Linked DNA regions of Mus musculus. The protein of the gene in region 2 interacts with the protein of the main gene of each other region in a biochemical or structural test. Links are inferred from orthologs where the notes say so. Each region holds a gene or a part of one and is shown on either strand. Other genes may lie near its edges.

What was found.
Region 1: the proteins of Lgals3bp (region 2) and Lgals3 form a complex in vitro, tested with the Homo sapiens proteins (4 studies listed by BioGRID). The link is inferred for Mus musculus from reciprocal best matches to the Homo sapiens genes LGALS3BP and LGALS3.
Region 3: the proteins of Lgals3bp (region 2) and Lgals1 form a complex in vitro, tested with the Homo sapiens proteins (2 studies listed by BioGRID). The link is inferred for Mus musculus from reciprocal best matches to the Homo sapiens genes LGALS3BP and LGALS1.

What each region holds. Positions count from the first base shown.
Region 1 is NC_000080.6:47,372,551-47,382,654, forward strand, and holds the start of Lgals3 (galectin-3), read left to right. Parts: upstream 1-1,309; 5' UTR 1,310-1,402; exon of another isoform or gene 1,403-1,429; intron 1,430-6,972; 5' UTR 6,973-6,976; coding exon 6,977-6,994; intron 6,995-7,502; coding exon 7,503-7,868; intron 7,869-9,045; coding exon 9,046-9,134; intron 9,135-10,104. UniProt on the Homo sapiens protein: Galactose-specific lectin which binds IgE. May mediate with the alpha-3, beta-1 integrin the stimulation by CSPG4 of endothelial cells migration.
Region 2 is NC_000077.6:118,396,662-118,407,278, forward strand, and holds the start of Lgals3bp (galectin-3-binding protein precursor), read right to left. Parts: upstream 5,299-10,617; 5' UTR 5,125-5,298; intron 3,141-5,124; 5' UTR 3,119-3,140; coding exon 3,067-3,118; intron 1,911-3,066; coding exon 1,719-1,910; intron 1,592-1,718; coding exon 1,460-1,591; intron 183-1,459; coding exon 1-182.
Region 3 is NC_000081.6:78,922,497-78,933,400, forward strand, and holds Lgals1 (galectin-1), read left to right. Parts: upstream 1-4,228; 5' UTR 4,229-4,299; coding exon 4,300-4,308; exon of another isoform or gene 4,309-4,451; intron 4,452-4,547; exon of another isoform or gene 4,548-5,473; coding exon 5,474-5,553; intron 5,554-7,136; coding exon 7,137-7,308; intron 7,309-7,501; coding exon 7,502-7,648; 3' UTR 7,649-7,969; downstream 7,970-10,904. UniProt on the Homo sapiens protein: Lectin that binds beta-galactoside and a wide array of complex carbohydrates. Plays a role in regulating apoptosis, cell proliferation and cell differentiation. Inhibits CD45 protein phosphatase activity and therefore the dephosphorylation of Lyn kinase.

The DNA.
Region 1 (10,104 bases), on a different chromosome or scaffold from region 2:
CGATGTTTTAATATTTTAAAATGCATTTATATTTGCACATATGCATGTGAGCATGTGTATGTGGCTTAAATGACAACATTCAAGAGTTGGTTCTCTTCTTTCCTCTTGAGTTACAGGGATCAAAGTTAGGCGTCGGGCTTTGTAGCAAGCACCCTTACGGGATTATGCTTGACTCTCTATACCCATATTTTCTCATGTCTAAAATGGGATTTGTAAGCAAGGGCACAGCGACATCACTGAATGAGTAGAAAGATAAGTTTATTGGGGCTCAAACCACCAAGGCAATAAACATTCCCCTGCCCCGGGTGTGGGGAGAAGTCAGCAGAATGGGGGGCTTTGAGCTGTTACAGGCTGTTGGGATTGACCGGGAAGCAGGTGCCCTTGCCTGAGGTAGTTGACATTGGGGGCAGACTAAGGGAGATCCCTGGTCAACAGAAACCACCTATAAGCTTCTGTTTGTGCAGCCAGAGTCCCTCTGTTTAGGACCAGCACTGGCATTCTGGGGGGCTGCTTTGGACCTAATAGGATTAAAATAATGCCAACTCCATAAATGTATGTAAAGCCCTAGGCATAGAGTGGGGTGCATAAGTGTTTGGTAGATATTAGCTGATGTATCTGAAGCTGGGGAAAAATTATCTTGAATATCCTTAACCACATCACTCAAGTTTTTAATCTATATAAATGGTTCCAAACTGGTTATCAGCCTCTTGCAAAAGCGGCTGTTCCTTGTAACTATTTTCATATAGACAGAGCTACACCCTGTCCTCTTGATTTAACTGCCCCTTGCCCGTGCTGTAACTCTCCTCCAATCTTTGAGAAAACATCTTCCTAGGAATCAATTCACACATTCATACTACTTCATTCATTAATTCATTCGTCCACATTCATTCATTCACTCATCAATCAATCAACCAACAAATACCTACCGAGAACCTACTATGTACCACATTGGGTTTACCCAGCCCAGCAAAATCCAGAGCAGGAGTGAATGCAAACAGGGGCACCTCTTACATCTCAGATTTGTCAGGGACACCTGCTCCTCCCTTCCCTCACACTCAAAGTCACTGCCATTTCTGCGGAAGGCTTCAGGTGAAGGAATTAGGGGCAGGATGAGACCCTGACAGGCAGCTTCAGACAAGGGAATTGGGTGAGTCTGAGAGTCTGGGTGCGGTCGGCTAGGGCCCACTGCGGGGCACAGGTGAGGGGCACAGGCTGGCGGGCGTGTCCCAGTCCACTGTGGGGAAGCTCCGTGGTCCGTGGGGCGCGGTCCAGCCAGGCGCCTGCAGGGCGAGGGATGCTGCCCCGCCCTGGGAGGGCGGGCCCGGGGAAAAGAGTACTAGAAGCGGCCGAGCCACCGCCCAGCTCTGACAGCTAGCGGAGCGGCGGGTGGAGCACTAATCAGGTGAGCGGCACAGAGAGCACTACCCAGGTGAGCGGCGCGGGGCGCGGGGACCGGTGCTGCTCAGTGCACCAAGAAAGGGCTGGGCTCCCGGGAGATGGACGGAGGTGACCTTCAGGGTCCCAGGCGCTGGTCTACCGCCTTGGCTCTCCTGCGGGTAACTCTCGGAGAAAGTTATTCACGACCTACATACTAAGTCTCTTTGGGATGGCGGGATGCCAGCGGGCCCTGGGCACTCCTTCGAAGCCCTGCGTTAGAGTGAGCCACAACCTACGGAGATCCACCTTGTAGCTGGCCCCTAGCTTGGCCATAGGGATCAGGTGCCTCTTCTGGCACGTTGGGGGTGGGGGTGGGAGTTTGGAGACTCAAAAGACATCGCCCAGGATTCCTGACTCCTGGAGGAATTCCAGCAGGCTCCTTTGGTGCACGTGGAAGCCTTCCACTAGAGATCTTGCTGTGTGGTGCCAGTGAGTTCCACCAGGTTCAGCGGAGGTAGGGGCTATAGCCACCCGCTGCGTGCTTGACCGCACAGGACAGTGCTGCCCAAGCCCTAGTGCGCATGTGTCGGGATGAAGAACTACTGTAACCTCTAACATTTTTTTGTAAGCCAAGTGACTCATTCGTGACCAGTGTGGTTATTTGTGCAATAACCTCTAGATCTGGGTGGAGGAAGTCTTGGGTGTGGCCGTGTTGGTCTCAGAGTGCAGACCCTTAGCGAGAGGCTTTCAAAGGTTGCATTTATGCTGAATTATGTTACTCAAGCACTATTGCAGGGAATCGAGGATGGGACGGGAATGGGTGGGGAGGGGGAGTTGAGACTGAGGCTTAGGATTCCGGCTAACCCTAGCAGGGAAGCAAGTGATTCCTATTTGAAGAAATTGGAATATTTATAAAGCGACCCCCGGGGAGTAGGGTTTCTGGATAATGAGAACATTTGGACTTAGTGACCCGGCTAATTCTGAGGAAAAGAACAGAAACCAGTGTGTAAAAACTATCACTTTCTGAAATTCCAAGATGTTTGCTTCAAGTTTATAGTTCCGTATTTTTATTTATTTACCTTTGGGGGCAGGGGAAGTATCTTAGTTAGGGTTTTATTGCTGTGAACAGACACCATGACCAAGGCAGCTCTTATAAAGGTCAACATTTAATTGTGGTGGGGGTGGCTCACAGGTTCAGAGCTTCAGTCAATAATCCTCAAGGCAAGAGCATAGCAGCGTCCAGGCAGGCATGGTGCAGGAGGAGCTGAGAGTTCTACATCTTCATCTGAAGGCTGCTAGTGGAAGACTGGCTTCCAGGCAGCTAGGATGAGGGTCTTAAAGCCCACACCCACAGTGACACACCTACTCCAACAGGGCCACACCTTCAGTTAGTGCCACTCCCTGGCCGAGCATATACAAACCATCCCAGGGAGACAGGCTGCCACTGCAGCCTAGGCAGGACTGGAACTTACTATGTAGCCCAGGCTGGCTTTCAATATTCAATCCTGTCTCAGTCTCCCAAGTGCAGGGGCTAACAGTGTAAACTACCACCCCCAACTGTTTCCATAAAACTTGAAGTTTAATAACAAAAGCCTTGCTTGTCTGCAACAACAGTCTTTGGTGGTGGTGGGGGGGGGAGGCAGTGCCCATCTGAAAGAATGCTAGTTTTTTTGTTCAGACAGGGCTGGTTTAGAACTTGTGATTTTCCAGGCCAGTACAACCACACCTAGTAATTGTCTCCTTCTTGGTCACTGATCATTTTTGCTTTGTTTTGCTTGTTTCTTGAGATAGGGTCTTACAATATAACCTTGGTTGGCCTCATACTCAGTACAGAGTTCAGGCTGGCCTTGAACCTATGCTACTCTTTCTCCCATGGTTTCCCGAGGACTGGGATTACAGATGTGGACCAGCCATCTTTACCCTAGCCTTTTCCCCTGAGATAGTCATAGTTATCTGTGATGGAGACTAGCCTCCTAAATTCAGAATGTTTAGGAGTTTGGTTTAAAATCTGCACTTACTCCATCTTCTGGGGAGGACATGGATGAGGTCTTTCAGGCTTAAGCTAAGAAGTATTTAATGGATGGCTCACTAAATTGTACACAAAGCAGAAGAGGTAGAGAATTGCTTGAGGGTTGACTGGAAAAATTGATCATTTTTCCGTAGAATGAGTCTATTCAAGGGTTCTCAATCAATGAGATAGTTCACTGGATCAAAAGCATTTGTTCATCATTTTTCGAGATGGGGTCTCACAGGCAGCCCTGGCTGGAACTCCATACATCAGGCAGGCCTGGGTCTATGACACCCTCCTGCCTCTGCATCCTGAATATGCTCAGATGCTTTCCAAAGAACTGTTCCTTAGGTGGGTGTGGGCGTAAGTGCCTGTCATTCCAACATTCAGGAGGCAGAACCCAGAGTACCTCAGGTACAAGGCCAGCATAGGCTACATTTAGAATTCTAAGCCAAACTGGGCCAAAGAATAAGACCTGTCTTAAAATATATAAGCGAACTTCTTACTTCCTGCCAGTGAGCTCAAGTGTCCTAGGTGAGTCTTATTTATGATTCAGATGCCTATTTGCCTAGCTCTCTCAATAGCCAAAGACTAAATCTTCACTGCAATAGACACATAAACATTCACAGTACACACACCTCAATTAAAAAAAAATCTATGTTTAATAAGTAAATACAATAAAAAAACAACAGCTAAAAACAATGAATACTTTTTTTTGGAAAACCACAATTTATTGGTTAAAATGTGGTTTTTCTTAACAATGTGACTGTGCACAAAAGCATTCTGTACTCAGCAGCCTGTGTGTTGAATGATTCACCGAGTTAGTGTTCTGGCCAAAGCTCTATTTTATTTTTAAATCTGTTTACTATTTCAGCATGCTATGTAGTTCTGGATGAACAAGCCAGAGAATTTTTCAGGGAAGTAACTAAAAATTTCAAAGGAGTCTATTTTAAAACATCAAAAACGTACACTTTTAAACTAGTATAGGACAAACCTGAATTAGGAGTCAGGAAACTTTGGAACCTTGTCCCCAAGATGCCAGTGAGATGGCTTCTGGCCACCGAATCAGCTCTCAGATCCCTCACTTCACAGTGGGATGTTTTCTCCAGCCAGTGTCACCAGATTGCTAACAAAATCAAAAACAGCTCCGTGGAAGTTCTTTGGGAACTGGAAATCACTCTACAAGTGCTAGGAGGGTGTCACTATCGCGACATCCTGTGGAATGTGTCACATAGCTGTCCAAAGTGTCATCCAAGGCCCACGTGCGTCACAGTGAAGTCTGCTGCCTCTAGGGTTTCATTGGGTCACATTGGAAAATGGGCCAGTCTTTTAAAACTGTAGCATACTTAGGAGGGAAAGGGATGTCTTTAGGGAGCAGCGTTCGTTGGTTAGTTTTTGGAGACAGTCTTGCTATGTAGCATAGGTTAATGGTAAACTCAATCCTCCTGCCTCAGCCTTTTGAGTGCTAGGATTAGAGGTGTGCAGCACCACTCCCAGCAACAGATTGCTCTTGTTTTTGAAAGAGTCTGCCCGTGCAGCTCAGACAGGCTCCACATTTCTGCTCCTCTTGCCTCAGTCTCCCTAGACCTGAGGTGGCAGGCGGTGAGCATCCTTCCTTGTAAACTTTGCTACTTTGAAGGACTGAAACTCTTTGTTGGTTTTGTGGCCCCTTGTATGTGCATTTATCTAGGGATAGATATTAACAGCCTGGATTGGTAGTTTTCAACTATATGTGGTTTTGGCCTTAGCAATTTGCCCATGTTTGAAAACATTTGGGGTTGTCGTAAGTTATAGGGTAGTGTGCCACTGGCATCTAATGGCTTGAAGCCAGAGATATTGCTGAAGGGGTGCGAAAAGGTTTCTCAGAAGTGCTAAGTTCTCTGCCCACTCTGAACCTCAAACCTATTTCTTAACAGGATCTCACTACATATCGCTGGCTGGTCTGGAACCTGCTCTATAGATCAGAGCTGGCCTCAAACTAACAGAGATCTGCCTGCCTCTGCCTTCTGAGTGCTGGGTGCCATTTTGCCCAGCCTAGGTTTGATCTTCTTAAGGAAATTCTGAAGCCAGGAACTGTGGCTCTTGCCTTTGATCCCGGCCACTGGGAGGCTGAGGAAGGGGGGCTGCTGTAAGTGCTCAAGGCTAGATTGAGACCCCGGAGCTTTGGTGTGGTTCAGGCTGACCTCAACCTCATGGGAGTTCTCACGCTACAGCATGCTGAGCTCACAGGCACGCCACACTACGCTCACCTAATCATGTTAGTTCTTGGGGAAATTGAGTAAAACATCACCGGTGGGCAGACGAAGTCAGAAGAGTCTGATTACTTCCAGATCCAGGTAATTCTCACAGTAGCAAAATGATGTAGTCATTCTGAGCTCTGATCCAACCCCCACCTCGACCGGCCATCCCCCACTCCCCCCCCCCCCCCCCCGTCCAAAGCTACCCTCCCATGGCTGCTTGAATTACCTAGTGCTAGACCGTTTGCCAAATATGCCGATGCTGTTAATTTAATCCCCAGAAACCTAAGAAAGAAAAGTTTCCAAACCAAAGCTGCTCTCTGCTGCACTCTGAGGGATCTGTTGAAAAGTGGGGCAGTTCCAAGCATCTTGTGGTTTTGTAGGTGTGGCACAGGAGCAAACGCCGGAGGGAAACAGGGTATGTCTGCAAACCAGTCCTGAGACAGCTTTGTGTAAGGCAAACCTGTTTGGCAGTATCCTGAATGCAGTTGCTTCTGTTCACATTGCCGCCCAACTCACCTTTGTTTGGCTGATTTACTGCTGTTGTATTTGGAACATCGAGTATCTCAAAAAACAAACAAACAAAAAAAAAAAACCCAAAAAACAAAAAAAAAACGCAGGCACCACAGCCAACACTTGAGATGCTGAGGCAGGAGGATCATAAGTTCAAGGTCAGGATGCGCTTCCCAGCTCACCAGCAAGCTCTCAGATTTGAACGTCCCAGTAGAGTCAGGCAGCACTGACCATACTCTTTGTGCTCATACATCTCATGTCCCTTGCTGGTCTGTGGGCCCTGTGATTGTGTGGAAAGTGATAGCTCAGAGCAGGCAACAGGTGTGCCAGTGGAGGCTAAATAACCAGGCAGCAGCCATGTCAGCTGTCTTTGAGATCTCAGTAGGAACCAACAGATAGCTTTCCTCTCATGTCCCAGAAGCGCTGTGGCTGGGAAGAGGGCTATACTTCCCATGAATCCTTGCAAGGGTAGAGAAACTCAGGGAAGCAGGTAGCCAAGAGAAGCTGTACCTTGTACCATCTTTCACCGAGAGAAGAGACAGGACATTCTCAACCTACTCCTTGGCCCTCTAGGTCTTTTGCTCTCTGGCTTCAGAACACAAGCTCCTGACATCAAGGTCTGACTTCACAACCTAAGTGGGTTTGGAATTTAGCTATAATGTATCTGCGCCTGTCCACAAGATGTTTTTACAGTCCAGCATCATTGACTTAGGCAAAATGATTGTACACTGACTGGAATTGCCCATGAACTATTTGGGATGTTTCATCTCATGAAGCTTGTAAATTGTTTTAGGCTCGAATACCAATAACCAACCCCCTTTGGCTTTTCTCTCTTAGGAAAATGGCAGACAGCTTTTCGGTAAGTATTTCATGTCTGTTTCCTTAGCCCCATACATACTCGCATGAGTTAGAAGGTTTCATTTCTACCACCGAACTTTCCCTTTGACCCTCCTCCTGACCCTTGGCCTGTTAGTGGTAGCTTTGCTTTTCTAGCAGCAGATTCCAGGGAGAGGTATGGCCTCTGTAACAGGGATGTCCCTCCTGGAAGCAGCAGGACCAATGGCATGGTCTGCTCATGCCAACACCTGCAGCTATTTCTCATGTCGGTTAGAAAGCATGTGTTTATAACCAGCCAGTTCCTGGTGTAAGCTAGAAGAGCTTAACCCACCCTGATATGCCATGATGAGAGGCCAGAACAAGACATGATACAAGACAGCAGAGGATCAAACTCAAAACAGCACAATAGGCGAGGGAAGAGTGTGAATCTTCTCCCATGTCCCAGCTTCTTAGATCACAAATGCCTGTAGTCCCCTAAGTTCTGTGTAGTGAAGGAGTCCCATCCTCTAATTGTTTGTCTTTCTTTATAGCTTAACGATGCCTTAGCTGGCTCTGGAAACCCAAACCCTCAAGGATATCCGGGTGCATGGGGGAACCAGCCTGGGGCAGGGGGCTACCCAGGGGCTGCTTATCCTGGGGCCTACCCAGGACAAGCTCCTCCAGGGGCCTACCCAGGACAGGCTCCTCCAGGGGCCTACCCAGGACAGGCTCCTCCTAGTGCCTACCCCGGCCCAACTGCCCCTGGAGCTTATCCTGGCCCAACTGCCCCTGGAGCTTATCCTGGCTCAACTGCCCCTGGAGCCTTCCCAGGGCAACCTGGGGCACCTGGGGCCTACCCCAGTGCTCCTGGAGGCTATCCTGCTGCTGGCCCTTATGGTGTCCCCGCTGGACCACTGGTAAGAAGGAAGTTGTTTCAATGGGCTTGCTGTACAAGTGGAGGGGACATTGGTGGGGGGTGGGGGGGAGGGATTTAAGCCTGCTGCTTAGAGCCATGTCTTAAGGGCCAACCACAGGGGTGTAATTAGTCAAGTGGGAAAAGGAATGTGTTCATATTGAGTTTACTCTGTGACTTGTTATGATAAGACATTGATAAAGGTGCTTTAATATAAATCAAGTTAAGATTGTAGTAATAATGAGTGGTGCACACCTTTAGGAAACAGAGGCAGAAGTGTCTTTATAAATATGAGGCCAATCTGGTCTACATAGAGATCCTATTTAAAAAAACAATTACACTATGAGGCAAAGCTGTATTATTAATAAACACTAACTGAGTTCGGTGGCTTATTCTTATAACCCCAGTAAATACTGAGAGCTTTCAAAGCTGCAAAGCTTTAGCTCAAACCAGGGATGCAGAAAAGGAAAATGATGGGGTAGGGGAGACTCCTCCATCTCATACCCATGCAAGGAGCCTTCCAGTTTACCCACCCACTGGGAGCAACTCCAGGAAGTATATATAAGGTCAAATGCAGATCAGAGCAAGAGATGGGAGTTTGGGAGACAGCAGAACCTAGGAGGAAACTTCATAAAGGAGAGACCAGAGGCAGGGACAGCGCTCTGGGGATGTCTACCACACCTTAAGCACTTTGCTCAACACTTGTGGAATGAACTGTAGAAGTGCTCATTCAACACAGACTTGTGTGCTAAGCATTTTGTTGGTGACCTGCAAGCACAGAAGCCCCAGGTGACACAAACCTTTCCTTAGATAGCTGAATTACAGTGCTGTATGTCATGTGTCAAAGGACCCAGGGACCCCGTGCATAAAAAGATTGTTGGTCAACCATCTAGCTTAAAATGTTAAAAAAAATGAGTCCGTATGAATGAATTATGGGTTGAAATGGGCCCAACTGATGGTCCAAGAACATTTGGTTGTTAATTTGTTAATTTCTCAATTAACTTTTGTGTACATAGGGAGCACTCTCTACCTTCCACTTCTTTAGGCCCTGGACAAGGTGGTCTCAGAATCTACACAGGGTTCTGTGTTGGTCACTGCATTGTACCAATGTTTGCAATGTACTTTACATTCCCCAAGAGAGCATAGTGCCTTACTGACCCTGGAATGCTTGTGTGTCCCAGACGGTGCCCTATGACCTGCCCTTGCCTGGAGGAGTCATGCCCCGCATGCTGATCACAATCATGGGCACAGTGAAACCCAACGCAAACAGGTACAAGGGTGACCCCAACAACCCATCTGTTGAATGGTTTTGAAATAAAGACTATCTTAATTAAGAAAATTTTATAAGTTACACAGTTGAATCCAAGCTGGGCTATCACATGGACTATCTCATAATCAGTACTTGATCGTATGTCATTTTTTGTTGGGATGTTACAGAGTGAATGGTAACATCCTCTACTCTGTGTTTTGGTGTATGTCATATGCTTTCATTGTCATGAGTGCAGGGTGAGGGCTGTTTGTGGTGGTTTGAATACACTTGGCCCAGGGAGTAGCACTATTAGGAGGTATAGCCTTGTTGGAATAGTGTGTCACTGTGGGCATAGGCGTTGATACCCTAGTCCTAGCTGCCTGGATGTCAGTATTCTGATAGCAGCCTTCAGATGAAGATGTAAAACTCTCAGCTCCTCCTGCACCATGCCTGTCTGGATGCTGCCATGTTCTCACCTGGATGATAATGGGCTGATCCGCTGAACCTGTAACCCAGCCCCAACCAAATGTTGTCCTTTATATGAGTTGCCTCAGTTATGGTGTCTCTTCACAGCAATGGAGACCCTAACTAAGATCACACCATTACTTCCTCTTTAGACAAATAAAACTGAGGCTCAGGTCTTATATTTACAGAATGGCAAGCTAGGAAGCCCAGCCTTCTGGGTAGTTGTTATTTACTTAAAGGGTTTGAGAAGATGGCAAACCTTTTTTTAAAATTTTTTGTGGGTTTTTCGAGACAAGGTTTCTCTGTGTAGCCCTGGCTGTCCTGGAACTCACTCTGTAGACCAGGCTGGCCTCGAACTCAGAAATCCACCTGCCTCTGCCTCCTAAGTGCTGGGATTAAAGGCATGCACCACCACACCCGGCTTGAGAAGATGGCAACTCTTATTAAGGAAAACATTTAATTGTGGCTTCCTTATAGTTTCAGAGGTTTAGTCCATTATCATCATGGTGGGAAATATGGCAGAGGG
Region 2 (10,617 bases):
CCACAGGGCCTGGGCCTCGGGGTTGGTGCGCAGGATCAGCGTGTGGGCACAGAGGCTCAGGTCCTCATACCCCTGCCCTGTCACCTGGATGAATAGGTCGCAGCCCTGCTGGCTGTCAAAGATCTGGCCCAGTGCATCTGAGAGCTCTCCAGAGAGGTCCAGGATGTGAAGCCCCGTGGTATCTGGGATGGACAGAGGCGGTTGCTGTGTGAGGCATGGGCTTTGTGGATCATTTTCTCTGTGAGTTTGAGTCCCATTTGATACCCCCACACACCCCCACCAGGAGTCAGGATCCTCATCTGAACCAGACATCCTGGTACCTGGCTCTGCCCAGAGGCCTTGTGGAAAGATGCAGAATGGGAGAGGCCTGAAGGGAGGCTGCAGCTGCCTTCTGAACCCCACAAGACAGCAGCTGGCTCTCTGTACCCCACACTCAGGCACTTCCTCTAGAGGAGACACCAACCCTAAGGCTGTGCCTACTCTTCACAAACCTCCAGTAACTGCAGAGGCCACCCTCCTATGCCCAATGAACAGCCTTTCAAGTTAGGGTCCCATTGCAACTTTACATTAAAACTTGAGGGTTCCCAGTCCCAAGGGGACAAGTCCTGAAGGGGTATGGCATGTCTCGGTGCATCCCCATCTTTCCCTGCCTCCCAAAGCCTAATCCAAAACCACATACCACACCATGCATTGCTCTGTAAAGGTTTGGCTTGATTTTTACATTTGGAGTGGGTGGACTGGCTCCTGTGTCTTCTCACACCACAGCCCCAGTCCCTCCTAGCTTCCCCTTGGGTCTCGTTTCACACTGTTCCCCAGCCAGTGGGGCCTCCCAGATGCCTGCACAGCTTGGTCATACTCACGAGGCTCCTCCGGTCTGAGACCCTCCAACTCAGATCAACTTATACCCAAGCCTGTCTGACATTGTGGGATTCGACACCCTCAGGCCTCAGTTCTCCAACTCAGGACAGAAGGGCATGTCCCAGGACCACCCCCACCTCCCAGGAGGAAGTCACAGATGGCAGCCAGGAAGGAAAGCTCCCACGGGCCTCAGGCACTGGAGATGAAGAGTTGTGGCAGAGTCGGGGTTTGGCAGGTTAGGGCTTCGGGCACCAGTGTCCTTGAACATAGCCAGCGAGAATCACTACGTCATCACGCACAGCCTGTGGGGGGGCGGTGCTATGCAATATGCCTGAGCATAATAACCATAAGACACCGGTCCTTAGAGAGCCACCCCTCCAGCACACAGTGCTGTTTGTACATGGGATACAGTCCCTTACCCATAACCCACTGCCCTGATCGAGGAGCTTCTCTGACGTGTGTAACACGGGGGCTCTCTTGGAGGATGTGGGCTCCCAGCCACATCCAGGGTGCCACTTTTGACTATTTACACAGGGGTGTTGGTATAGGCAGGGGCACGGCTGCCACTTCCCCTAGGTGCTGGGAGGGCAGGGCAGCTCACCGTTGGAGCAGACCACGCCTGCGTCCTTCTCGTGCCCACAGCGGCTCACCATCCAACCCAGGGATCTGCAACTGGCCAGTGAGGACTCGGTCCCTGTACATTCCACCTCATCCAGCATGATCGGTCCCTTTCCTGTGGGCACAAAAGGAAAGCCAGGGGCCACACTGGAGGAGGAACCGGACCTTCAGCGGGGACCGGGGCTGATCACCAGCTCAGGATGGGATGCTTAAAGAACATTACTCAGGGACCTCAGCCACACCTGGCCCGAAGGCAGCTCTGCCCAGTGCTTGGGTGGCGTTCTCATAGCCCAGGGCCCGGCAGACGACGTGGGCATCCAAAAGGTTCCAGAGGTTGTCACACACTGTCCCCCACCGGCCTCTGTAGAAGATCTCCACGCGGCCCTCATTGGCTGAGGCCCCGTTAACCAAGCGCATGTCTCCATCTTCTGTACCTGTCGGGAGAGGGGAGGTCAGCTGGGAAGAGGGCTAGCCTGGTTTGATGTTCACTCCCCATGAATTCAATGCTCTGTGCTCACTAACATTCTGGAGTTGCTCTTGAACCACTTCAAAACGCCCTCCCCGTGTGCCGTGTGTGTGTGTGTGTGTGTGTGTGTGTGTGTGCCCACTAAGAAGGGGTGAAAGCTCTGATGACCTCACAGAGGCCATCCATGGTCTTTCTATCTCTCAGCTCTGGGTCTTTTGCTCCAAGAGGGCACCCTGGCTCTCAGCCTACAGAGTGAACTCGAAGAGGTTCCTTGCTGGCTCTCTGGAACACTGGCCTGAGGGGGAAGGTGGGTCCTGGGTTCCTAGACACAGGCAGAAAGCAGATTCACCTCGGCTTATGATGGGTGATGTCCTGACAACTCAATGCCAACTGTCTCATCCTTGGAGTCTCTGGACTGTCCCCACTTAGCAACGGGACATTGCAATGTTCCTTGTTCCCTCCAAAGTGTGGGGCCGAGGGAGCTGTGGTGTGGGGTCCCATTGTAAGAGGAGTGGGGTACACAGCGCTGGTCCCAACTCGCACATACAGTTCCCACCTCACCCCTACAGTGGTTGCCTAAAGCGGACAATCCTGGACTGGAGACAGTCTGCACTGTGGCACAGGCAGCCAGGACAGTCCTGCTCTCCTTTCTCTGGAACTCCCGTCTCTGCCCATGCTCACAGGGCCAGCTGGGCGCTTGAATTGGGGTCACCCATACTAGAGAGGGATACTCAGCTGACGGTCCAGGATGGACAAGGCTCTCAGACCCACAGTGCAGTGTGTGAACTGCCCCCCCCCCCCAGGGACTCTCTGCCACCCTAACCTGTGCCCTGAGACACCCCCCCACACACACTCCAGGACAGCACGGGCTGTGCTCTCCCTCCTTGGCCCACTGATGAGATGAGAAAAAATTTCTTGGCCTCTTCTTCAATACCTGCATTTCACTTGGGTGCGGGGGAGCACCAGGGGCCATACGCCACCACCATTTAGAATGACAGAGGAGCCACATGGGAGAGAATCCTGAGACATGGCTCCTTGCAGGTTGCCATGCAGCTTTTCTGCAAGGCAGAGGGGGACAACCCACAGAACAAGGCGTTTGGGACCTTTCGTGGGGCAGGACTCACCTTGAGTCCCTGGAACCAGCAAGAACACAGAGAGGAGCCACAGGAGAGCCATTGCCTGGCCTAGAAGCCCAACCCTGCAGCAGAAAGAACAACAAAGTTAGACTGGCAACAGCTCTCCAAAGGAGACTGGCAGTTCCATGGCTCCCTGTCCTATTTGTAGAGGATGGGATGGTGTTGTGGGTGGTACTCTTGTGTAAGGCCCAGATGGCTATGTGATGGCTCTCATGCAGGCCTCTCTCACATGCTCTGCAGGACAACCTTCAGGTCAGCAAGAGTCCCCAGATGAGGCAAGTGGCTTGAGGGCTCCTGGCAACGAGAACCCAGGAAGCAAACAAGAGCTCTTTATCTTTAGCTGGCCTTATCTGTAAGTAGTAGCTAGCTGCCTTTGGGGTGTGCAGGGGACAAGATTTGCCAGTCTGTGAGGACATTGTAGATGAGGTTGGAACTCTCAAGGGGAAGTGACAGAGGCAGTGTAGAAGGGTCTGGGACTTCATGATGTGACCTGGGGATGTGGGTCAGGGTCAACCACCACGGTGCTGACACACAGGACTCAATACTTAGACTCTTGCCTGTATGTAGGATGTGCCCCACCCAGGCATTGTCCCTCAGGCCCTGCAAGGAGCGGGGCAACCCACAGAACAAAATGCAGCAGCCTCAATGGACTCTGGACTCGTTCTAGGCCCAGCAGGCAGCTTGGGACTGGTAGTGGATGGTGCTACAGAGCTCTGTCTCCTGGGCAGGAACTGGAAGCCACAAATTGTTACTCCGACCAGGGGCCCAGAGACAAGCAGTAGAGATATTTCAGGTCCAGTAGAAGCACCAGGATTGGCCCCTCCCCAGCCCTCTCCCACCGACCAACCCCCACCCCAGACATTCTGCACCAGAGCAGCACGAGCAAGCCCTCAGGGGGCCAGGGCACTTGTAGCCATCTTGGCAGGGGTGAAGAGATCCTAGGATAGGCTTTGGCTATCCGACTGCGGAAGCAACAGCAGAACTGGAACTCCCCGGGAGTCTCACGCTGAAAGGAGAAGGCTGTTGCCTGGTGATAGCCAGAGAGGAAGCCTGTCTCCAGGAAATAACAGCTCACTCTGGGATTTACAGCCCAGGCAAGCCAGTTAGCTATGTATACCTCTATGTAAACCTCATGTTAATATCCCCTAATAGACTCTGGGCCATTAATGGGGGAGGCCACTGGATTCCTCTTAGTGTGGCCACATTAAATAAATCTCCTTTTTCGGCTTTTCACTGTTATGTTTTTAATTGGACCATGGAGGATGGGTGGCTGAGTCTGGCTATCAGGGGAGCTTTCTGGGCATAAGCTCTGACCGTTGAGTCCTATAACACACTGATGGGTGGGACTTGGCCCTTAGTTCTGTGCACCCCACCCCCACCCCCCAACTGGTTCCCACCAGACTTCTGCATCTAGTCAAGCACAGACCCAGAACAATATACAACTCACAAAGTTCCCACATCCCTAATGAGAGCCGAAGCTAGAGAGCCAACTGACTCCAGATGACACAGCCAGTGAGCACAGGTTAGGGTCTGCCCAGGGGTGGCCTCCTTCTACCACAAGGACCCTGGTGGAGGTGGAGGGAGCCAGAGAGTCCCACATCCGTGTGGCAAGGCATTACCCCAGTTTTATCCCAAGAAGGCCTGGGCTCTGGGAAACCTGAGTCCCAGGCAAACTGCACTGGGTGCCCACTCCCTGCATTTACTATAAACTGTGGTCGTAGGTTTGTCCATGCTGGGTCAGGCGCTCTAGGCCTTGGGAACATTGCAGTGTATGTGGATGTTGCTGTCCACTGGATGACAGAGGCTGTTTCTGCCCTACTCCTTTGTGTGGGAAGATGGGACAAGCCTGCCTATGCTGGCTCATTCAGTACCACTGAGTAGGTAGGTTTAGTCCTGGGAGAGAATCTACAGACCCAGGAGGGGGCCGGGGATAAACTCTAACCCACTCACCCCTTCAGCTGTTCATTCAGTGGACATCCTGCCCAACTGTATTGGCTCCTGTGCTCTGGCCTGCCAGAAATCATGCTGTGTAGAGTGGAGACTCACCTGGGAGCAAGAGAGGGACTCAACTGTCCCTCAGGCAGCGAGGCAGTGGCTGAAGGCAGTCCTGGAGCCTCCTTCCTGGCTGCAACTGGAAGCCTTCTGTAGACTGTTCAGCAGAGAAAAGCTCCACCATGTGGCTTTCCTCAGCCTCGTCCCAGGAAATGCTTTGTAAACCTCACCTAGTTTCGATTTTCAGAAAACACATGACAGAGGCTGCTTCTGGGGTTGGCTGTCAGCAAGGCTAATAGCCTTCTGCTTGCTGCTCTGTGGGGCAGAGGGCAGGCACCCAAGCGCCCTGTGCTGAGCTGATATACTGAGCTGATGAAACAAATATAAGTCCAGGCTAGCCAGGCAGGCACCCTGTGGGGCAGCTTGGGGGATGGTTGGAGCAAATACATCTCCAGGCTGGCCAGGCAGGCATCCTGGCGAAGGAGAGTGGAAAGATACAGAAAGAGGGCCTAGGAGCAGCAGCTCGGGTCAGACCGTGTCTGTGAATGTGGATGTGGGCTGGACTATCCTTTCCTGGACCTGGGAATGCTGGCTGCCCTTAGCTTATGCACAAACCTACCATGCGCAGAGCGAAGGTATGTGGGCCACAGAGTGGTCCTGAGAGACAAGAATAGCGATATAAAGGCTAAAAGCAGAAAGCAGGGCTGGGGGCTAGAGTGGCTTGGTGGTTAAGAGCACCACCTGCTCTTATGGGAGGCCTGAGTTCAACTCCCAGCACCCATGTTGGTTGGCTCAGAATAGCCTGTAACTGGCTTCAGGGGCTCAGACTCTGTAGGCACCCACACCCAAGTGTGCTCATGCATGCACACATATAATTTTAAAAATTAAATCTTAAAAGGTTTCTACAATACCTTTTTTTTTAAAGTAGGGCTAATTGGGCATGGTGGAACACACCTTTAGCTGGAAGGCAGAGGCAGGTGGATCTTTGTGAGTTAGAAACTAGTCTGGTTTACATAGTGAGTCCTAGGTTAGTCAGGGCTACACAGAGAAAGCCTGCCTCAAAGGAAAAAAACAAAAACAGAAACAAAACCGAAACAAAATCCTAAAACAACAACAACAACAACAAAACTACCACCACCAAAACTGCTTCAGCGGGTAAAGGGACTTGCAGTAACCAATCCTGATGCTATGAATTTGACCCCTGGGACTCACTGTAAGAGAAAACTGACTCCTGTACGCTGTCTTGATCTACACAAGTGTACCGTGGCATGTATGTACATGCATGTAGACACACACAGTAAATAAATGTAAAAATATATATATATAATTCAAAGAGGCCTAGGGAGATGGCTCAGTAGTTATGAACACGTGCTGCTCTTGCAAAGGACCCAGGTTCCATTTGAAACACCCACATGGCTGTTCACAGTCACCCATAATGCCATTTCTAAAGGATATAATGCCCTCTCCTGATTTCCATGGTCACCAGGCACACACGTGGTACACATACATGCATGCAGACAAAAGTTCCAAACATGTAAGATACACTAAAATTACAAAGGCAAATTTCCCCAGACTTATGATGTTTAGACAGTGGCCTAATTCCCAGCAGCTCCCTGCAGCTCCCCTGGCACCAGCACTGTAAGGTTTCCTACCTCAAGACACCCAACTGTCCTCTTGAACACTATTCAAAAGGTCTGACACAAATGGCCCAGGAGGCAAAGCCAGGTGACTCAGAATTGGTATAAAATCACCCTGTTCCTTTTCAGGTGTATGGTTCAGGAATTCACCGGCTGGGTTTCTGTCCTTGGTGTCTACTTTTTTTTTTTTTTTTTACACCAGTTCTGGTCTGGCAAATCCTTTTATCCTGTGCCTTGAGTTCTTTGTCCTAGGTATGACAACAGAGAGGAAGGCTCCAAGGCCCTGGAGACCAAACCCAGGCAATAGCTGGTAAGCAGATACACTGGCTCCCATACACGCCTGACTTGGTAATGCAATCTCCCAACGGCCACAGTGACCGACTCTCTAGGATTCAGACCAGGCTCTGCCTGGCTTATACCTATTCCCCTTTCTCCACAAGAAACCCAGGTCTTGGTTTCTACTTGGGGAGTCCTCAGTCAGTGCAGCTCAACCTGGGCTGGCCATGAGAATTACCTGTGAAGACACCAATGCCCACATCAGCCTGTGGGAGGAGGGGCACTGGTATTTGAAAGCCCAAGGGAGTTCTGGGGTACAGTTCCTTTGGGATCAGCAAAAAGCTTGGAGCCCCAGAGCTCAGGGTTGGACACTCAAGGACTGCTTCCCTTGGACATGAAGTTTCCATTGGCTAAGGGGTCATGCAGTCCTAGGAAACCCTTGCTGAGAGCTACAGGCAGGGCTAGGACTGACTCTGCAGACATGCCCAAGCTTGTTGAACTGTGGCTTCTGTCACCGTTGGCTGAGAATGTGAAAGGGGGGATGGAGGTGTCCCCTGGAGACAAGAGCTGGGAGAAGAGTCAGTACCTGGACTGGCCGGTGGCTCCAGGAAACAGCAAGTCTCTGGTGCCTCCATCCTGGGTCAGCCCCTTTGTCAACCAGGGCCTGGGATCTGGCTTCCACTGGAGGACAGGAAGCCAGGTCACAGAGACAGGGCTATCACAGGGTGTGTAGTACACAGCAGGCCCATTGTCTATGGTTCTTATCATTCTTAATGCTGAGACCCTTTAATACAATTCTTCATGTGGTGGTGACTCTGGACCATAAAATTATTTCATTGCTACTTTTTAGCTATAATTCTGCTACTGTTATGAAGTACAATGCAAAAGTATCTGATCTGTAACCTCAAAGGATTAGAAACTGAGAACCACTGTTCTATGTCTACTCCAAAGCCAACAGATGGGTGGTTAATGGGCCCAGACATTGTGACACAGGGGGACTTCCCAAGAGGTCAGGCCCAGGGAACATTCAGATCCCTCGAGCTGCTCGGTGATGCATGTGACACATCTGAGACTTCTGAGGGGATGAAGGCGGGTGACCCTGCTTCCACTTCAGTCACACAGGACATGCATGACAGCCTGGCCATCCTGGTCCCCCCCCCCAAACTGCGCTTATCTTTAACCACAGGGGTCTGAGGGTCACAAGACCTCTTCAGGGTAATGTCCTGAAGATGTCAGGGCCACAGTGACCTATAGCAGACGCCAAGTCCCATCCTACCACTGTGTGCTCAGCAAGTCACAGACCCTCAGTGCCAAGGCAGTTGTTAACTGCAAAGACCCCAGTAGAATAGCAGCATTGGAAAGAAGTGTCCAGCTTGGTGGTAGCCACGCCTTTAATCACAGTACTTGGGAACCAAAAGCACACAGATCTCTGTGGTTTTGAGGCCAGCCTGGTCTACAGAGTGAGTCCTAAGACAGCCAGGGCTACACAGGGAAACCTTGTCTCAAAAAACCTAAATGAACGAGTAAGTGTCTAACCCTGGAAGGCATGGGGCTCCCCTCCCGTCACCTCATCTCTTCTGCTCTGCACCTGTGGCTTCCTATGCCCAGCCTTGGAAACCAGGCCCAGTCTCCATTTCTCTGGCCACAGAAGACATCCCCCACTGCAACCCTGAACAGCGGCTTTGGGATGACCTATCTTCTACATAGAAAATGGAGGACAGGGAAGACAGAGAGAGACGCCTGCATTCCTCCCCTTGCCTACAGACAACTAAGGTCTCAAACTGGAATTTTCCCAGGGATTCTCACACCTGAGAAGGGAGCTTGTGCCAGCCAGAGGAGACATTCGTCTCCTGGAAGGATTCCACATGGTCTGACTTGTCAGGCTACCTGCCCAACCCAGGAGTCAGGACCAGGCACAGTGCTGGGTCAGTGATGGGCAGACCCCAAAGGTGGGCGTGGGAGTCACTGTACCTCTATGTGTACACACACACACACGCGCGTGTGTGTGTGTGTGTGTGTGTGTATGTGCGTGCATGTGGTATATGTATGTATGTATGTATGTATGTATGTATGTATGTATGCGTGTGCACGCATGCACGTGTTAAGAGCACAGATGCCACAGGGATCATGTGAAGGTTAAGAGACCAGCTTCTGGGTCATCAGTTCCCTCCTTCACCATGGGTTCTGAGGATCACTCTGTCTGTCAGGCTTGTGTGGCAGGCACTGTTCACACTGAGCCTCCTTGTTAGCCCAGTCTGGACCTTTTCCTTGTCCCACTGCCTGATGTGGCCACAAATCTTTCTCTACTCATCACTATTCCTTGTCGTGGCCTGTGGAGGTTGGGATTCCAAGCCTGGCCTATTGTGTCTGCTGTAGTTCAGGATCCAGCACTTCGGGCTCTGTCCTGACTCTAGTAATTGCCAGAGTGGGAAAATGGAGTAGGACAGAGCCTGAAGGGCTGGAGCCAGTCTCTCCGTACAGCTCTTCCCATCAGACCCAAGCCTGGGAAGCCTAGACGGGGCTTCACTTCCTGGGCCTCATTTGGAGAGGTGAGGGGCCATTTCATGACCCCAAGGCTTGCATCCCACCTCTTTAGACTTCCTGGGGCAGAGCCCTTGGCAACAGCCAACATAGACAAGAGAACCACATTCCCCTGACACTTTATTGTTTATAAAACAATGGAAAGACACAATCATTGCTCAGGGAAAGGAAGGTATGTGGAAGGCTCCTCAGCGAGGGGCCCAGGTCTCTCTCAACCTCTCTCATTTCATCTTTCAGCTCAGAATCACACAACCGAACACAGTTGACACACATCAAGGAGGTTTGGCTGAGCTCCCAGCACAACAGTACACGAAGACCTCAGCACCACAAGTCAGCAGCAGCCTGCTGTACTGAGGGTAGTCAGGCCCCAGTGGCAGTGGCTTCCTGTGGAAGGGGTTTGTGACGGTCATCAGGGCCCTGTGCCTACAGCAGTACCGGTGTCCTGTTCTAAGGGTGCCGGAGGCAGGTGAGGTGCTGCTGCCTGCAGAATGACCTCTGAGCCTGACTCTGCTGCCTTGGCTCTTTTGAACATGGACAGAACAGGACAGCAGAAAACAGTGAGGCCTCCCTAGAGAGAAGGCTGCTAAACACCCACCAGGAGCCAATGAGGGCAGGTCTCCAGTCAGGTGCAGCCCCTCCCTCAACCACTGCTGAGGGGTGAAAGCATGGCAGCCCTTGGAAGTTGCAGAGGCCAGGGATGCTGAGACTCTTTCTGTAAAAGCTCACGTCGCCACTGTGGGTGTGGGGACAAGTCCCTCGCTCCTGGAAGTGCATGTGGGAACTCCACTGTCACTGTGTGATGAAGTCTGGTGACTCTGTTATTCAGGAAAAGAAACTGCTCTAGTAAAAATAAGTTAATAATTTGGACTTTAAAAGGCTGTACAGCACAAAAATCCTCCTGAGGGGAGAAATGAAGTTATCAACAGCTCGCAAGCAATCCTGTGCTAGAGAGGCTCCAGAGTGTGGGCAGGTGCCTCCCAAGGGGTGGCCCTCACCCTGCCATGTAAACATTCACTTTCCAGGGGTCTGCAGCATATGGAATGCCAGAGTCACATGGGAGAAAGAGGGCCCCCCCCCCCCCCCCCCAGTGCCT
Region 3 (10,904 bases), on a different chromosome or scaffold from region 2:
CTGGGACCTGTATGGAAAAGCTAAGGCCAGATCCAAGGGCTGGGCTTCTGAACAGAATTCCAGAGGACTCCAATGGCTACTGTGGGAGCCTGAGGGAGAATCATCAGGGGCCCCACCTTTGGCCTTAGGAAACAAGGAAGGAAAAAGGCATACCTCAATACCTGCAATCCTCAACTCACCCTGAAATGATCGGCATACTGCTACCTTCTAGAATGTGGACATTATTCAGAATAACCAACGCCCAGGACTACACCCTGCCCCCCCCAAATCCATGCTCGTCTCTGTTCCCCATCCTGCCTCTGTTTGGGATCTGACCACAGCGGCTATTCACCAGGTGGGCAGAGACTGATATGCTCAAATGAGATAGGCTTTGAAAGCAAGGCGCCGGGCACTGGGCCTGACAGATAAGTGGGTGCCACCACCAGGAGGCCCTGAGCACTTTGTGGGTGTGGGGCAAGGAAGGGACCTTATTTCTGACAACCCTGCCTTAAAAACCATAGTGCCGGTTACAGGGGCTATTGGCATCTGGCAAATCCATACCACAGCTCGGGTGGGAGAGGACCAGAAGAGGGTCTGCCAAACACCAGGGAAGGTAACCTTGGAAGAGGCGACAAGGAGACTGTAAATCTTGAGCTCAGCTAGGTATGGTGAACTCATACCTGTTATCCCAGGCAGGACTGCTTCGAACTCCAAACCAGCCCGGGCTACAGAGCAGGACTGTCTCAAGGCAAAGGTCACCTATGAAGAGCCACAGACCTGAGTCCCACCTTACGTGACCCTCAGGAAGGAAAGAGGGACTTCACACGTACAGTTGCAAATGGAGAAAATGAATAAACAGGTAAACAGGGTTGGAAGCATAAACCAGAATCTCCAGGCCATGGTCAGGAGACTAGTCCTTATACCATGCTCTTCCATGGCCGGCCTGCTCAGACAGCACCTACAGAGAAGTGCACACACACACACTTCCTGGTGTAGGTCTTCTATTCCAGTCATGACCTGGCAGGAACAGCTCCCAGAGCCCTGAGCTCCCAGCCCGTGGATTTGCCTGGCAATTGACTGCCTCATCTCTGGTCTTCTACCTGGAACTCTGCCTGATGTCTTTGTCCTGTTCCTGATGTGGGAGAGGGGCACACACAGTTGGAATAGTAGAGGAACTAACCGGCCAGGGCCCCAACAGTCCCGCCCTGTAACTGAAGTCTGGGGAGGCCTCAGAGGAAAGATTGAAGCTGCTGCGGTTGGGTTCTCTGGTGGTGACTTGAGGGCGGGGCTGGAGATGATGGGGCAGGCCAACCTCACTCCAGATGTGATAGCATCTCCCCTGTGCCCTGCGGGTTTCCCTCTCCTCACATCCTGGGTGGGCTTTCCACATCTGGAGGGAGGAGCTAGAGATGAGCCTGGGAGGAAGAGGCTGGGTAGGGCAAGAGGATTGCTGGCCTGGCCTCCAGATGTGACTCAATGACCCCTTATCGTCACAACTCTTCCAAGATGGTAGCTTCGGAAGGGGAACGGCTACACGGACCCCCTGTTGCCCCGACACCTGATTCCCAGCGTGAGCCAAATACCCCTCTAACTAACCAGAGGTTTTAGGGCAGGAGAGGGGGCTCTGGCAGCCAACCAATGGAGCTGGGCCTCTACACCAATTAAAGAGATAACTAGTTGGTAGAATGCTCACTTAGCACGAGTGAAGGTCTGGTTTAATCCCCAACAAGTCAGTTGTCACAGGCCTGAAATCCCAGAACTTGAGAGGCAGGAGCAGGGGGGTCAGAGGTTTAAGGTCAGCCTTAGCCCAGCAAGCTTGAGGCCGGGCTGTACTGCGTAAGACTCCTGCCTAAAAAGAGGCTAAGGGGACATCAGGTTAACAAACACAAAAGGATTTATTCAATGTGGCCACACTGGGAAAGGGAACAGATCAAGAGTCTCAGTAACCCCAAGTTTGTTTTGGGGTACTAATGTGAGTTGGCTTTTGGAGAGGCCGTTGTTGCTGTTTTAGCTGCTAATTTTTGTTTGGTTATTTGGTTGGTTTGGTTTGGTTTGGTTTGGTTTGGTTTGGTTTGGTTTGGTTTTTAAGACAGGGTTTCTCTCTGTACTCCTGACTATCCAGGAACTTCAATCTGTAAGCCAGACTGTCTTTGAACTCACAGAGAGCTGCCTCTGTCTACATCCTGAATGCTGGGGTCAGAGGTGTGTACCACCACTGCCTGGATAGCTGCTAATTTGTTTTTTTGTTTTTGTGTTTTTGTTTTTGTTTTCCGAGACAGGGTTTCTCTGTGTAGCCCTGGCTGTCCCGGAACTCACTCTGTAGACCAGGCTGGCCTCGAACTCAGAAATCCACCTGCCTCTGCCTCCCAAGTGCTGGGATTAAAGGCATGCACCGCCACTGCCCGTTTTTTGTTTTTTGTTGTTGTTTTGTTTTTTGTTTTGTTTTTTGTTTTTGTTTTTTTTTTGTTTTTTGTTTTTTAGCCAGGGTCTCATGTAGCAGATGAGAATTCCTAATCCTCCTGCCTCATTTTCCCAAGTGCTGGTGTTACAGGCATGAGCCACCATGTAGTTTAAGTTTAAATATTGAAAGAATCAGCACAGATAACAAGAGGTATGCATACCTGGGCTGACTGACTGGCTCTGTACGATGGCTTAAAGAAGTCATATTGCTTAAGGGGATGTGTAAGTTCTAGGGAGAGGGTCACTCCTTCTCCCGGGTGTGCAGTTACCTCAGGAACACTCCGGTGGGGGAGGGGTTGTCCTGCAAGGCTTGGCTCGGCATTTTTGAGACAGTGACTAGTCTTCGTGCCTTTGGCTTAGAAGGGTGATGGTCAGGTCAGGAAGGCGGAGGGAAGCGAGAGCCTGAGCCAAAGGAAGGAGACAGAGATACAAAGACAAAGGCAGAGAGGGCAGACTCACCCTTTCAGTAACCTTCCAGGGCACGGGAGGAATCCAGGCTTTTTGGCAAGAGCAGCTTTGAAGTGCCTGTATTATCACACACCCTCCGCTCTGCTCAGTGAACCTCCCTAAGTCTCTCATGTCACCCCATGACCCTCTGTAGCTCCCCAAGACCCTCAGGTAAAAGACACTGAAACCCTTTACCTGGCCCACAAGACCCTTCATGATCTTTAACGCCCAGCTTTCTCCTACATGGTAAGCAGCTCGTTCCCCAGGCACGGGCTTCTCATCTCCAAGCCTTTGCCCAGTTGGAATGCTGGGTCCTTTCAAATCCCTGCTTCATATGTCAGTCTCTACCCCACCATGGTGAGTGTTTGCCCTGCTCAGTGCCAGTGCGGTGTTATTTCTTAATTCAACGCATAGTCACATTCTATCCAAACCGTGAATTCTGAGAGCAGGGCCTGGGAGGGGCTCATCTTCATGCCCTCTGAGGCCAGCACGGAGCTAGACACACAGTAGGGGCTCAGGAAAATAACTGCTAAATGAATGGGAAGGGATGGCCAAGTCTCTTCTCTAAAAGTGGGAATGAGACCAAGGGGGCACATCTGGCACACCCTGGACTGCCCCGAGGCTTGCCTCTCAGGCCCCGGGGATGTCACAGCCAAGGCACTCAGAACTCTCTGCAGGCCCTGCAGTGGGGTGAAGTCCAAGGTATGAGCCAAGGACACCAGCCTCAGGCCTGGCGCCCAGCCCAGGCTTTCTTTAGCCCTAGTGAGCTGCACTGAGCCGTAGCCACAGTCCTCTGCTTCCGGGGAAAGCCCTGGTGGGGCCTGTGCTTTGTGGTCCTCCTCAGTCCTCCCGCAGAAGCCCACAGTGGGAGTCACAGCGAGAGCCACACCCTGGCCTGCCAGGCGGCAGCCTCTTCAGAGAGCCTTGCTCTAATTCTCTGCAGGCATCTATACACACATCCCCCTCCCCCACCAGCTGCGCTGGGACCTAGGGGCTTTCTCCCTGCTGGCCCCAGGCCCTATCCCGCCAACTCTTAGGTTTAACTCATCCTTAAACTATTTTCCATTGGCTCCCCCAATCTCTGCCACAGCACAAATCTTTTTTTAGTGGAAAGAGGGATGGAGAAGAATAAGAGGCGGCGCCAGGACCCTGAGGGAGGGGCTAGGAGGGGGGGTCTCCTCTCTGACTGGTCACCTCTGCTCCAAAATTGACTTTATAATCCATAGACTCCACTTCTGGTGGCCCCCATCCTTGTCCTGACATGCAATTGGCTGAACTCCCGGGGAGGGGCGGGACTCACCGGGTCTGATCCAGTTAAAAAGGTCGGAGCGGGCCTGGGGCCCGTCTCTCGGGTGGAGTCTTCTGACTGCTGGTGGAGCAGGTCTCAGGAATCTCTTCGCTTCAGCTTCAATCATGGCCTGTGTGAGTGCGGGACCCTCTGTTCCAAGGTCTAGGGGACTGAGCAGAAGCAGATGGGCACAGGAGAGTAGACAATTGGGGACTTGCTTCTGGTCCCAGCTGTGCTGCCTTGGACAGGTGTTTTCTCTGGTCCTCAGTGGCTACATCTGTAAAATGGGGGTGGCTGTCACTGTTCCCCCCTGAAACCTTAAGCGTCTCTGGCTTAAGAATGTTCTGGACTTCTCGTAGTTCTGGCCGCATACCTGCCTTGCAAAGTCCAGTATTCTGCTGCTTTGCCGTTTTCTGAGAAGTGGGAGTGGGAAGGGTGTGGCCACCCGGGGAAAAGGGAGGCAGGGGGACATTTTGGCCAAGGCCATTCCCTGTTCACTCTTCCTCTCCACTCTAGAGTCTCCTGACCCCTCCCCCGCTGCAGCTGTCCCCAGTCACAGGGCCAGGGCTCAGTTGGTCACCCTCTGCTCCAGAAAACTAAAAAAAAAAAAAAAAAAACCCTCCCGGGCCTAAGATAGGCTCCAGGCTGGTCAGTGGAGGCGGGTCAGGGCTGGGCGGAGGAAACTGCATGCATTTGCACAGACAGGCAAGCCCTCAGGTATAGGGTTCAAATGTCAAAGAAACCCCTTGCCCAAATGAACTCCTGTCAACTCACCCAGGTAGGTGCACAGCAGTGCCCTGATATGTACTGGGCTCTCTAGCGTGCTAAGTCCACATTGCCACTCTCGGGCTGCCCAGTCCCACCGCCCCTCAGCCTCTCCGCTCCCTCCCGATGGTGTGCATCTAAGCAGAGAGCCTTGAAGCCGATTGGGGAGGCAAAGGCTGTTTTCTCTATCTCAGAGAAGCAAGGCCTTAGGCTAGTGGTCGCCTAATCCTTCCATCAGCAAAATGAGGATTTAGGAAGTCACACTCCATCTCCCCTCCACTCTAAGTCCAGGTCTCCAAGCTGATGTCTTTTAGGGCTTGTTCTGTAGGACAGTCACAAGTTTGACACCCTGCTGGGAATGAAGTCGTTCCCCATCAACTTACACCCTATCCTGACCAGCCCATCCCACCTCGGGCTTCCCCTAGGGCTGGTCAGGGTACTCCAGGGTGGGAATGACCCCATCCCTACACCCCAGCCCAATGCAGGTAGGTCTAACTCCAACCTAAACACAGCTCGGTGCTCTTGTCTACACAGGGTCTGGTCGCCAGCAACCTGAATCTCAAACCTGGGGAATGTCTCAAAGTTCGGGGAGAGGTGGCCTCGGACGCCAAGAGGTGAGACTGGAGAAAAGAATGGAGCGGGCAGGGGGCCAGGTTCGCAGATTTAGGTTGCGATGGGCGTGGCCGGCCGGAACCGCTCATTCCCCAGCCCGCAGCTGGTTAACGGGCAGCTGCAGATGCTGCGTTTTCTGGGTGAGTCACTTCCTCGCTGGGTCTAGTCGACGTCGCCGTGGTCTCCCCCTCCCTCCCGCCTCCTTTCTCCCGGCTGAAGTTTCTTAAACTAAAGCAGCTGCTGCTTCAACGACTCCGGCTTGCCCCTCCCCTTCCGCGGGGGGGGGGGCGGGGGTGGCGCGAGGGAGCGGGGGAGAGGCGTTGAGGGAGTGGTCACCCACGTGCCTGCTGCCTGAGGGTGCCCTGCAGGGGCTCAATCTTTTTTCCAGAGCTTCCTCCTCATTCATACCGCCCCACCGCCCCCCCCCCCCCGCCCCCAGCAGCCATGTGAGTTTGGACCAGTCACCCAAGCTCACGAGGCCTCGACTTTTTTTTTTCTTTTCTTTTCTTCTCCGAAGACAGGGTCTCCTTATATAGCCCTGGCTAGCATGGAATCTGTGTTGACCAGGCTGGCCTCCACGAAGACCCACATGTCTCGTCTCCCCAGAGCTGGGATAGAAAGTGTGTACTTCCATATTCCACACCCCTAAGAGCCTGGGGTTCCTAATAAAGCCAGAGGGAAAGTGGTGGAGGGGAGAGAGCCAGGGCCAGTTCCATCAAGCAGGCAGCTGCTGCTGTCTGTTGTCTGTTGTTAGTAAGTTCCTGAGCCCTTTCGCCTCTTCCTACCATACCTCCACGGTGAACACCGCTACCAGGCTCCGTGCAACAAACTCCGTATTCTTTTTGTTAGTTTGTTTGTTTTTTTGGTTTTTCAAGACAGGGTTTCTCTGTATAGTCCTGGCTGTCCTGGAACTCACTTTGTAGACCAGGCTGGCCTCGAACTCAGAAATCCACCTGCCTCTGCCTCCCAAGTGCTGGGATTAAAGGCGTGCACCACCACAGCCAGCCAAACTCCATTTTTTTTTTTTTTTTTTTTTGGTTTTTCAAGACAGGGTTTCTCTGTATAGCCCTGGCTGTCCTGGAACTCACTTTGTAGACCAGGCTGGCCTCGAACTCAGAAATCCGCCTGCCTTTGCCTCCCGAGTGCTGGGATTAAAGGCTCAAACTCCGTATTCTTATTTACGCTTCTTCTCCACAGTGAGGGAAAATCTATGGTGTGCCCTGCGCTGTACTCGGCACCAGGGACTCAGATACACAAGACAGATAGGACACCATCTGGAGAATCTCCCCTCTTGACCAAAGGGGTTGACAACTATCAATGTCTGGGAGAGAGCTCCCCTAGTGCGCACACACACACCACCACCACCACCACCACCACCACCACTGTACAGTCAGAGAGAATCTGCAGGGTCTAGCTCAGTTCACATGGTGAGACCAGAAGTAGAATCGAAGTTCCTGGCCTTCCTGTTGCTTGAGTTTCAACATGGCATGTCCATAGCCAGCTGCTGATGTTGCATTTTCTCAGTGAGCTGGGGTCTAGCACCATCCAACATGGCTGAAAGCCCACCTGTCCCCCCCCCCCCTAGCTTTGTGCTGAACCTGGGAAAAGACAGCAACAACCTGTGCCTACACTTCAATCCTCGCTTCAATGCCCATGGAGACGCCAACACCATTGTGTGTAACACCAAGGAAGATGGGACCTGGGGAACCGAACACCGGGAACCTGCCTTCCCCTTCCAGCCCGGGAGCATCACAGAGGTGGGTGGCGCTGGGCAGGGCCCTGGGTGTGCTGGGCAATATGGTCAGAGCCAGAGGCTGACCATTCCCTGCTGTGTGATTACCCTTGAATGGCATCACTCTCTCAACATAATAGACCTCACCTATACAGAACCTGTCCCCGGGGCTCTGAGCTGGTCCAAGGCCCAGCTCACTGCCCTTCTCCATCCACCAGGTGTGCATCACCTTTGACCAGGCTGACCTGACCATCAAGCTGCCAGACGGACATGAATTCAAGTTCCCCAACCGCCTCAACATGGAGGCCATCAACTACATGGCGGCGGATGGAGACTTCAAGATTAAGTGCGTGGCCTTTGAGTGAAGCCAGCCAGCCTGTAGCCCTCAATAAAGGCAGCTGCCTCTGCTCCCCATAATCCAGCCCTTTCATGGGAGAGTGTTTGTGTGTGTCTATGTGAGGGGCCCCGCCCAACCTGGTCCATCTTCACTTCCATTCATGCCTCCATGTGTTCTTGGTCTCAGTGACCTCTCTTGTGCTTTCCAGGCCAAAGAGAGCCCAGCACAGAGAGGGCTTAAGTGACCACAGAGGGTGAGCCAGTGTCCCACTGTGACAGGGACAGAGCAGTGGGAGGTGGATGGATGAACAGCCGGACCGCATTTGTCTTAATAAAAGCCAGAAACCACTGAGCATGATGACACATACTTGAAATTAAGGAGGCTAGACCAGGCACATCGGCATGTGTTCCAGAGCAGTCTGGATAGCCTGGGCGACATAGTGGAGACAGCTTGGGCTAGCTTTATAGTCCTATACCACTAACTTCTTAGGAGACTGAAGCAAGAGGACCACTTAGGACTAGCTCGGCAATATAGTATGACCTCATATAGGTAAGGACTAAAAACTGTTGTATAGCCTTGTGCTTGTTAGCTGGTCTCTCTGAGCCTTAGTTTATCGTTTTATGCATGAGGGATAATATTCAGTTCTCATGAGGGTTGTTGTGGAGTTAAATGAGATTTTGGTGGAGGACTCCAAGTTCTGCTGTGGGTACGTCATGACCAATGCCATTTGGGTAGCTTCTGGTCTTCCTTACACTACTAACTTTTTATGCCTGCAAATGCAAAATGCGTAGGGAGGAAACAGTCTCTGAGGGACAAAATGATCCCTTAGCAGTTGAGCCCAGAGGAAGCAGGCTTACCCTCCTGGAATCAGTGGGCAGCTAGAGGACTAGGCTAGAAGGCGCTAACTCTGTGGCACTCAACAGGTCCCCTCCCTAACAATGGGAATCTGGCATGAGGTCACACTCCTGTAATGTGATTGGGGATTCTGAGTGGGCCCTTTCAGAGACATAAGATGAGGAGTGGGGTGGGAAGGCTGATGGGAGGGCCCAGACGCAGGTCTTCCAGAGGGCAGGTGGCTCACTGGGCTGGCAGAGATGGACGTGCCTGCCTACCACTGCGTGCTTATTCCTGGCTTCCAGGAGGAGGTGTCTTCCAGATCTCAGCTCAGGATCTGCTGCCTTGGGATGGGATGCTGTTCTCAGCTGAAGCCTGTCCCACCCAGCGCAAGCAACTCATGGGCCACCATTGTTCATCTGTACCAGTGTCCCCACTTTACATAAAACAGCTGCAGGAACTGAGCCAAGGTTCTGGAAGGCTTCAGCTATAAGCCTCACTAGGCTCTCCCTCCAACTCTCAAATCTGGGGCATAATATCTTGAGGCTGGGAGGCAGGTGCCTGCAAGATCTCATTTTCTAGGATAGACTGGCACCCTCCTGGTAGGGTCTCTTGCACCCCCGGCCCCCAGCCTCAGTTTTCCCATCCATAGCAGGGTGAAGACTTCATGTTGGTGAGTCCAGGAAGCAGGGGTACCCGTAGGAGAAGGCCAAAGAGAATGGAATACACAAGCCTTGGCCTCCCATGGAAACACACCCCATCACTGCACTTTTCTGAGTCACCCAAGGGTGGCTATGGAGGAGACGCCCTCTGCTGGCCTCAAAGGAAATGTCCCTCAGACTGTCTTCCTGTGTTACCCTACGGGAGCTAAGCACTTGATCTTGAACAAGAAAGGGATGACCTCACAGAGAGGTTGTAAGGCTCACCACAGGGTGGGGCTGGGAGATGCTCAGTGGTAGGAGCATTGACTGCCCTTCCAGAGGACCAGAGTTCAATTCCCAGCACCCACATGGCAGCTTACAGCCATCTTCAATTGTCTCTAACTCCAGTTTCAGATGATGAAACGCTTTCTTCGGACCTGAGGCAAAACACCTATATACATAAAATGAATTACAAATAATAATAGTTAAAAAAAAAAAGCCGGGCAGTGGTGGCATGCGCCTTTAATCCCAGCACTTTGGAGGCAGAGGCAGATGGATTTCTGAGTTCGAGGGTAGCCTGGTCTACAGAGTGAGTTCCAGGACAGCCAGAGCTATACAGAGAAACCCTGTCTCGAAAACCAAAACAACAACAAAAAAACCCAAACAAACAAAAAAGAATTGTACTGGTTGCCAGCTTGATCGTGCACTGTTTTAATCCCTCACTCAGCTGGCAGGGCTCTGTGAGTTCAAGGCCAGTCTGGTCTACATAGTGAGTTCCAGGACACCCAGGGATATGTAGGGAGACTCTGTTGCAAAACAAAACAAACAAACAAAAACAAAACAAAACAAACAAACAAACAAAACCCCGGGAAACTGGAGAGATGGCTCAGCGGTTTAGAGCACTGACTGCTCTTCCAGAGGTCCTGAGTTCAATCCCCAGCAACCACATGGTGGCTCACAACCATCTGTAATGGGATCCAATGCCCTCTTCTGGTGTGTCTGAAGACAGCTACAGTGTGCTCATATACATTAAATAAATAAATAAATAAATCTTAAAAGAAAAGGAAAAGAAAAAAATGGTCCTGGGGTGGGGGTGGGAGATGCACAGGCCACAGCTTTGGCTAAGAAGGCATCCAGTGACCCACAAAGAGGAAGGAGTCTGGGAAGGGGCTGAAGACCAAAGGCGGGCTCTGACTTACTAAGTCAGACCACAGAACTTCTGTTTAGTCCACAGAGAGGAGGGGATAGCATAGCAGCGGGTGACAGCCCAGTAGCAGAAGGGAAGGCAGCTCTCAGCTCTCTAGGCTTCTTCAGGGGGCACAGTGTGGCCAGGACAGTGCCTCTACCCAGAAGGGAGATGACAAAGGATGTAGGAGGGCTTGGTTCTAGGGGAACAGAAGTGACCACTCGGAGACGCATGTGTCTAGTAACCCTTTTCTTAAGATAGGGTCTCTAGCCCAGGCTGGACTCCAATTTTCTGCGTATCAGGATGATTTCAAACTCCTGACCCTCCTGTCTCTACTTGCTAGGATAACAGGCTGTGTCACCATGCCCAGTTTGGGGACCCACACTTTTTTTTTTAATGTGTTCATTTATTATATGTGAGTACACTGTTGCTATCTTCAGACATACCAGAAAAGGGCACTAATCTCATTACAGATGGTTGTGAGCCACCATGTGGTTGCTTGGATTTGAACTCAGGATCTCCAGAAGAGTAGTCAGTGCTCTTAACCACTGAGCCATCTCTCCAGCCCCGACCCACACTTTAAAGATAACTTCTTCTCAGCATCCAGCATAGAATCTCCGAGT